Linked DNA regions of Zea mays. The protein of the gene in region 2 binds, or shares a complex with, the protein of the main gene of each other region. Links are inferred from orthologs where the notes say so. Each region holds a gene or a part of one and is shown on either strand. Other genes may lie near its edges.

What was found.
Region 1: NAD(P)H-quinone oxidoreductase subunit T, chloroplastic (region 2) and NAD(P)H-quinone oxidoreductase subunit O, chloroplastic share a complex: the UniProt entries of both Arabidopsis thaliana proteins name them as parts of the chloroplast NDH complex. The link is inferred for Zea mays from reciprocal best matches to the Arabidopsis thaliana genes NdhT and NdhO.

What each region holds. Positions count from the first base shown.
Region 1 is NC_050103.1:163,551,758-163,555,931, reverse strand, and holds NAD(P)H-quinone oxidoreductase subunit O, chloroplastic, read left to right. Parts: upstream 1-1,777; 5' UTR 1,778-1,929; coding exon 1,930-2,128; intron 2,129-2,240; coding exon 2,241-2,404; intron 2,405-2,517; coding exon 2,518-2,577; intron 2,578-2,681; coding exon 2,682-2,711; 3' UTR 2,712-2,989; downstream 2,990-4,174. Other genes in the region: Phosphatidylserine decarboxylase proenzyme 2, read right to left, coding at 265-324, 418-442, 806-885, 1,079-1,264. UniProt on the Arabidopsis thaliana protein: NDH shuttles electrons from NAD(P)H:plastoquinone, via FMN and iron-sulfur (Fe-S) centers, to quinones in the photosynthetic chain and possibly in a chloroplast respiratory chain.
Region 2 is NC_050099.1:14,035,273-14,039,431, forward strand, and holds NAD(P)H-quinone oxidoreductase subunit T, chloroplastic, read left to right. Parts: upstream 1-1,910; 5' UTR 1,911-2,021; coding exon 2,022-2,362; intron 2,363-2,518; coding exon 2,519-2,939; 3' UTR 2,940-3,169; downstream 3,170-4,159. Other genes in the region: Pyruvate kinase 1, cytosolic, read right to left, coding at 3,351-3,506, 3,596-3,652, 3,764-3,863, 3,959-4,026, 4,106-4,159. UniProt on the Arabidopsis thaliana protein: NDH shuttles electrons from NAD(P)H:plastoquinone, via FMN and iron-sulfur (Fe-S) centers, to quinones in the photosynthetic chain and possibly in a chloroplast respiratory chain.

The DNA of each region.
Region 1 (4,174 bases), on a different chromosome or scaffold from region 2:
TGTCCACCAATAATTTGCTTTTTTGGAAGCATGCATGCATGTAAATAAAAGGGTCAGGCGGAAACATGCCACTCAAATTTTTGAAAAAATGGAAACTAGTTCATTTTCATGCCACCATGGCATCAAAATAAACTAGCCGTCTAATTTTGTAAAAATTGAGTGGTATGTATACAATTAATACTAAATAAAATGGTTTCGACGTAAGAGAAAACCATACAGGTAGGCACTCAGCACATGCTTTTAGTTATTCCAAGGGCCGCATACCTCAAAAACAGAGATACGTGCAATATGAGGTCCATTCGTCTCCACTATAACCTTCTTCTCCTGAAAATTTTATCAGCACTATTCGTAACAACGCTTAACTAGATGTGGAAGACATCTCGGTAGGTTGACAGAGAAGATGTGCGGCTCACTCACCGAGTCCCACACAGGCCTGTGCGTGCTGCAAGAAAAGAGAAAAAAAGTTCACATATTCGAATCGAAAAGTGGTACGTATTTACTAGATATAGAGTGGTGATAAATGCATGCAATTCAAAATTAGATGGAGAGTACAGGCAAAGGCGATTCACGATATGGTGGCTCATAACTGGCTGAGGTACTTATCAGCAATCCCGCGTGCGGCGTGGAAGTTAAAATTTACTAGATCGGAGGGCACAGCCAGAGGGACATTTGAGAGTTACCAAGTCGAGGGACACACAGCACGCAGACATGAGAGCGAGACAGGGATATTCTTGCACAGAGGAATGGAAATGGAACAGACATAGGACGAGTATTCGAGCAGTAAATAAAAGCAAGGGCGACGCACTTGTCGGACGTCTCGGTGCGGTACGTGCGGTCGCCGAGAGAGAGGCACGCGAAGAACTTGTCCTTGAACTGCATATCCGCCTGCGCCCGGAAACCGAACAGGAGGATCAACCATGGCGAGTCAAAGTCAGAGTCAGAGAGGCAGAGACAGTGATGCGATACGAATCGAAACCCACGGATTCCGCCTCGGCTGGCCGCGTCGAAGCGGGGAGCGAGACTCGGTGCTAAGGAACATGCGCGTAGCAGCGGAGTTCGCAGCGCGCGGCCCACGTACCTTGGCTATCCGGACGCGTGCGATGCCGGCGAACTCGTCGGCGGCGAGGGCCTTGGAGGAGACCGAGTCGTCGCCGGCGCCGCGGCGCAGGCGGTTGCGCAGGCGGCGGCGGAACCGCGCGAAGCGCGAGGGCAGCGCCTCGCCGGCGCCGGCGCAGGCAGTGGGCCGCGACGCCGAGTGGCCCATCCGGACAGGTTGGTGGGGACTGGGGACGAAGACGGACGGGACGGCGCGGCGCGGCGCGGCGCGCCTTTTGCGGGACGGTGGTGGGCGCGGCGTCAGACAGACAGACAGACGCCTAGGCAGATGGTGGTTGGAAATGGGCCAAAAGTAGAGTCCCTTTTGAATCCAGGCCAACCGCCTGCCTGCCTGCCTGCCCGCGCACGCCGGTTCGTCGCCCGGCCGCGGGCCCCATCGCCACTTTGATAACTCGGTGGACCCACACGTCAGAGGGGTTTTGGAAGGTGTGTAAGGATGGAAGTCAAACCTGTGTTGATGGCGCTGGTGGGACCGGACAAGGAAGATCCACCTGCGTGCGCTGCGCACTGGGGGGGCGCCTGCCTGGCTCTTGGATCCACCCATTTCCCATCGTCGTCTTCTTTTTCTGAATGGGAATCTCCACTTCTTGGTGGTGGCAGGTCATGACAGCAGCCAAAGTAGATGATGATTCCCCCCCCCCCCTCTCTCTCTCTTGCGCTTGCAATGGGAAGCAAATGGCCAACCAATAGCAAAAAGGCAGCCGTGTATCGATCGCCTTATCCGGGTCCTGTGGCACTGGCACACCGCGCGTCCGGATTTGGCTGAGTAGCTGACTAGCTGAGCGAGCAATCCATCCCTTCGCCCGCCGCACCATGGAAGCCCTCGCCTCGGCGCCTCGGGCGCTCTTCCCGCGCGCGTGCCCAGTGGCGACGCCGGCCGGCCCAGCCCGGCGCCGCTCCGCCGCTCCTCACATCTGCAGGGCCTCCGCGGCGGCCGGGGAGGAGACGACGCCGCCGCCGCCGCCGGCGGCCGCTCCCAAGAAGATCCTCAAGAAGAAGCCCGTCTACTCGAGTAAGACGACGACAAGACCCCCCCCCCCCCCCCCCCCACCCCCCCCTACTTCTCCCTCTAGCTCTCGCGCGCGCGGCCATGCATGCATGATGAAACTGGCTGAGCTTTGCAGTGAAGAAAGGGCAGATTGTGCGCGTGGACAAGGAGAAGTACCTGAACAGCATCAATTATCTGTCAGTGGGACACCCGCCCTTCTACAAGGGGCTGGACTACATATACCAAGACCGCGGCGAGGTCTTGGATATCAGGAACTTCGAAACAGGAGAATACGCCCTGGTAATGAAAACTACTTCCATCCGCGCATGCTGTGTTCAGAGTTTCGTCATGCTTTCTGCCTCCACCATACATGTTCAGAGTTTCAGACCAACGCGCGCGTGCATGCATTTCAGATCGCTTGGGTGGGGATCCCGACGCCACCGGCATGGCTACCAACCTACATGCTCATCAAGGTAGCTGATTCATCCCCAGTTGGATCAATCTGTACGTCATGCACCACTCGTCTCACCTCGCTCTCGCTCTCTGTCTCTGTGGCATGTGATTTGTTGCATTGCAGTCGGACAAGCTCGACTACGAGAGGATATGATGGCCGGCCGGCGGCCTCGCAGGGCACCGTAGCGCCGCCGCCGAATTCATGCTTCATTTCGCATCAGGAGTCGGCCAAGCAGGACACACCTCTTGTTGTTGACTTGTTGTAGGTATATACGTACATGCCAGTATTGCCAGAACAGTCGACAGAGGCAATCTGAGACCTCAGCTGCTGGAATAATCAGGAAGTAGATCGAGAGCGACGTACGATGACGAGATTCATAATTGCTGCTGCACATCACTTCTTTATGTTATTTAAACTCACATTTCATAATTAATACTAATAATATATTGTCTCCGTTCTTGAATATTTGTCTCGTCGATAGTTTATTTTCGAATAAAAAACGACAAAATAAAAAAATGATAGTGTACCGATTATGAAGCAGCCACAAACAAAGGTTTATAATATACCTTTCCAGCATTTATATTATGGGTCAAAGTGTATCATCACGCACACGCCTCTGTCTACACTCCGCAGCTAGCCACTGCTGAAATAAACAATGTACAATTAGTCAGGGAGGGAAACAAGGTTGAGCCATCTTTAGATAATCTCTAAGACCGTGTCAACCAACTCCCCTATCTCATCTCATATCACATCCCTTATTTCAGACTTTACTCTATAAACAATGATAAATATTGTTATTTACAGTATCATGTCCTCTATTTTAGGGGATCCACTGAAGACAGTCTAAGTTAGTGTTTAGAATGGCTCGATGCCAAGAAACGACTTTGTTCGAAAAAAATAGGGAGTTGGATGGTTCAAGATTTGATCATATTTTTTCTTTTTTAAGCCGCTATATTCTACATAAACCAATCCTAACAATAATAGATTTAGGAGTGTAGCGACTCAGTCCAACCCTACTCCAAAACCAAACGCTACCTACAATATTTTTTATGGGTAACGACATATGAATTATGAACACAGTGAGATTTGTCGATCACCCCTAATCCACGTTGAGGTAGATTCCTAGCTCTCACTTGCTCCTCTATCAAGACATCGCTTGATCTTTGAGCCAAGTGGACAGTAAAACACTCAATACCTCAATTGTACTAGCGTCGCCTTTGCCGCTCCGACGACGTAGGCGCGAACCCCTCATAGACTCCTCCGAGGTTTCTTCACAGCCTTCATGAAGAGTTCGACAGAGTCACCACCAAGCCGTCTAGGAGGCGACAACCTCCAAAAATAACAAGTCGATGACAATCACTTGATGTTCCACATAGTGCCTCAAGATCACTTTGATGATGCAATGCACTAGAATCACCCAATCACTCACTAGAATGTAATCTCAAATAATATGGGTGAGTGAGAGTGTATGACAAGCTCCAATGTGCTCAAAGTATGCTAGTAATGGCCAAAAGAGCTTCCATACACGAGCACCACTTCTATTTATACCTATCCATTCAATACTAGCCGGTATGGACAAGCTGCCCCTTTTCTGCACACTCGTAGACGATACGCGC
Region 2 (4,159 bases):
CCGAGAAAACTTCCCGGTCGGTCACCCATCCCAAATTGCTCCAAGCCAAGCACGCTTAACTTGGAGGTTCTTTCAAGATAGGCTTCCGAAAAAGAATATGCACCTTGTTGGTATGATTACACTATTAATTCTATTAAGCCTTGGGCCAGGACATCCCATCCCAGGGGCCAGGATATCACAATCCACCCCCCTTAGAAGACCGACGTCCTCGTCGGTCAACCCCAATCCAGGAACCTCCCCTCTTGGCCACGTCTGTATGTCTAGTGTCGTCATATGCCATGCCATGTGACCACTCCGGGCCCAGATGCGCCATGCGCCATATACCCGAACCCCCTAGCCCACACACGCCCGTGAAACCGCGAGGGTCGGCTCTGATACCACTTGTAACACCCCGTCCAATCCCTGGACCGGCGGTACTTACTCCTGGCAGCTCTCTAGGATCATATATTGTCCCCACATACCAACACAAGTCTTTTGTGCGCACTTTGTCCTCACTCATGCGCACCCGAGAAAACTTCCCGGTCGGTCACCCATCCCAAATTGCTCCAAGCCAAGCACGCTTAACTTGGAGGTTCTTTCAAGATAGGCTTCCGAAAAAGAATATGCACCTTGTTGGTATGATTACACTATTAATTCTATTAAGCCTTGGGCCAGGACATCCCATCCCAGGGGCCAGGATATCACAATCCACCCCCCTTAGAAGACCGACGTCCTCGTCGGTCAACCCCAATCCAGGAACCTCCCCTCTTGGCCACGTCTGTATGTCTAGTGTCGTCATATGCCATGCCATGTGACCACTCCGGGCCCAGATGCGCCATGCGCCATATACCCGAACCCCCTAGCCCACACACGCCCGTGAAACCGCGAGGGTCGGCTCTGATACCACTTGTAACACCCCGTCCAATCCCTGGACCGGCGGTACTTACTCCTGGCAGCTCTCTAGGATCATATATTGTCCCCACATACCAACACAAGTCTTTTGTGCGCACTTTGTCCTCACTCATGCGCACCCGAGAAAACTTCCCGGTCGGTCACCCATCCCAAATTGCTCCAAGCCAAGCACGCTTAACTTGGAGGTTCTTTCAAGATATGCTTCCGAAAAAGAATATGCACCTTGTTGGTATGATTACACTATTAATTCTATTAAGCCTTGGGCCAGGACATCCCATCCCAGGGGCCAGGATATCACAATTTGTTCGGTTATTTTCAATCTATAGATTGGAAGAGATTGATACGTATTGAGAGAGATTTTGACTTACTAAGGATTGAAACCCTTTAATCACCTTCAATTTATATGGATTGGCATAGAAGGGAAGACCCCTCTCCCTCCCTTTCAACTACACTAGTTACCAATGGCACAAATCTCGTAGCATCTGCAGTGGCTACCAATGGCACAAATCATGTCTTGTATCGGGCGACAAAACCGCTAGTCACAAGAGTGCTGAGGCCAAAGCTGAGAGACTGGAGACGGCAGTAACGAAGATCCAAGCATTGTTGCCGTTTCAAGAAGACCTCTCCCTGATGATACCGTGGAACGCAAACCTGATGCGCGTTATCATGGGAGGCGACACCCAAAATCCTGAATTACAAAAACATTATTAATTTAATCACAGTTAAAAATTACAACAAGGGGATGTAGCTCAAATGGTAGAGCGCTCGCTTTGCATGCGAGAGGTACGGGGTTCGATCCCCCGCATCTCCAAACTGTTTTTTACCCCCCTTGTTTTATTTTTTTTACCTCTTCTCCCTCATTGTCACTTGGTCAGTACTCAGTACTACTCAGGATAACTGTGCGGACGAATTCGATTGCGTACCGTCTAAACTGACAGCGCAAGTGTTCGTGCGGCGGGAAAATTTCTGCAGTTTCATTTCTCGTTCGGAATATGGTTACCGTTCCTTTTTCTTTTTGTACATGTGGCCATTGGCTAAGTGAACAGCGACACCTCATCGCCTCGCCCTCCTACCACGACAACTGGAACGTGCGAGCCTCATCACCTCCCGACTCCCCTCCACGCCTTGGAATGCTGCCTGCGCAGACGCTAACACACACGTTTCCCATGGCAGCGTCCACGGCCTCGCGCATCTTCACGCCCTTCCTCCACCGGCACCAGCGGCGCACGAAGGCAGTCGTGGTCGCAGCCGCGAGCCCGCCCGACGCCGAACCGACTCCTGCGACGGCGGACGGTGCAGGGCCGGGGAAGAAGAAGACGGTGGACACCAGGATACACTGGTCCAACCCCGACGAAGGGTGGGTAGGAGGCAAGGCCAAGAAGGAAGGCGACGGCCGCGGCAGCAGCAAGAACGAGCCGTTGGGAGGGAGGTTCGCGGACCTCATCAACAACGCGGCCGAGTCTCACTACCAGTTGAGTTCATCTCCAATCCATGCTCATATGTCCTTTTGGATTGCCGTCCAGCTGTACATAAATTTGTAGAGCTCTGTTCGAGACACTGTCATCATCATGTCAATACTTTGTTACTAACGGCGACACATGACTGAACTGCAAAATCTATCACCCAGGTTCCTTGGCATAGCGCCAGAGGCGGACATCGAGGAGATCAAGACGGCGTACCGGCGGCTGTCCAAGGAGTACCACCCGGACACGACGACGCTGCCGCTCAAGGTGGCGTCGCAGAAGTTCATCCGCCTGCGAGAGGTGTACAACGTGCTGAGCAAGGAGGAGACACGGCGGTTCTACGACTGGACACTGGCGCAGGAGGCCGAGAGCCGCCGCCTGCAGCAGCTCAGGTCCAGGCTCGAGGACCCATACGAGCAGGACATCATCAACTACAAACCCGTGCCAGACATGGTTGACCGCCTCGGCGGCAAGAACATGAAGCTTAGCGATCAGGCCATGACTGCGCTCACCATCGATATCGTTATCATCATCATCTCCATCTGCTGCATCATCTATGCTGTTTTCTTCAAGGAGCAGTACTGACAGCAGCATACCAGCAACAGCAGCAAGGTTGCAGGAGTGTACCATAGACAGAACATTATAGGTAAATTAACTGATAATGCCCTAAGATTGTCTTTTGGGATGTTATCATGCACTGCATCATGTAATGTCCAATAGAATAAGGTAGGAACGACGATTATTCATGGTTTGTTGCCAACAATCCTATATTTGCATAATCAAATCATAATTCCAGTATAAATCTGTGACATCATAATTTATTGCGTCAAATCAAAAGACAATCTGAAAAGAGGGCAAAATTCCCTAACAAGATATCTTGTGCTCTTGCTGTACTCTACTTGGAACTTGGTTAAATAAGTGAGATGGAACTGGAGGTAATCTCCCATGCGATACATGAAACTACAGCATGGGTTGTAGGTATCAATCATCTAATGCCTAACCTTCACACTCAATGATCTTGACAACAGAAGAATCACCAATCTTTTCAAAGATTATCAACCTGTCGAAAGGCTTCACTATGCCAACCGACCGACCATAGCTCATCGCAAGTTTTATCCCATACTCTTCCTTTGTTAGCCCACCAGTTTCGGCCTATTACAGAGTTTTAAGCATTCATGGTTAGCCATATGTTTTTTTACATGTAACTCTAATGTTAGGGAAAAATACAATTGCTTACATACCTCATCAGTACTCCCCATCAAAGGGTACACGCCTCTCACTGCGAAACATTGTCTTGCCTGAAAGTGGTTTAATAATGGTTACACATTCGAGTTTGCTGGTCCTGCTTCACGACAACCAGAAAACTAAGGAAGCATGAAACTCAGCAGAATCATAGACATACAAGTTACCTGTGTTGTGCCATAAGAACGCCACTTTGATGGATCGGATCCTTCACGTGGGAAGATAACTGCTAAAATTGGCATTGTTGGCCTATACTTGGCAACTAACCTGTGAACAGATAAGCATAAAATGAATTGATTGCTCCGTATGATGGAAATGTGTCTAATGGTGTGCTGATCATGAAATGAAATAAAGGGGAGCACCTCGCAGCTCTCCCTGAGAATGTGAACACAACAATGGCAGCAGCTTTTACTTTGATTGCAGAACCAACCTAAAAACCAAGTAATGGTTAACTGATGTTCTATAAATTAGAAAGCTTGTGTTTATTCCAATGAATTGATAGTATTTACCGCTGCTGATGCCACAGATTCCTCGTGGGGCATTGGGTCACCTACATGCCACAT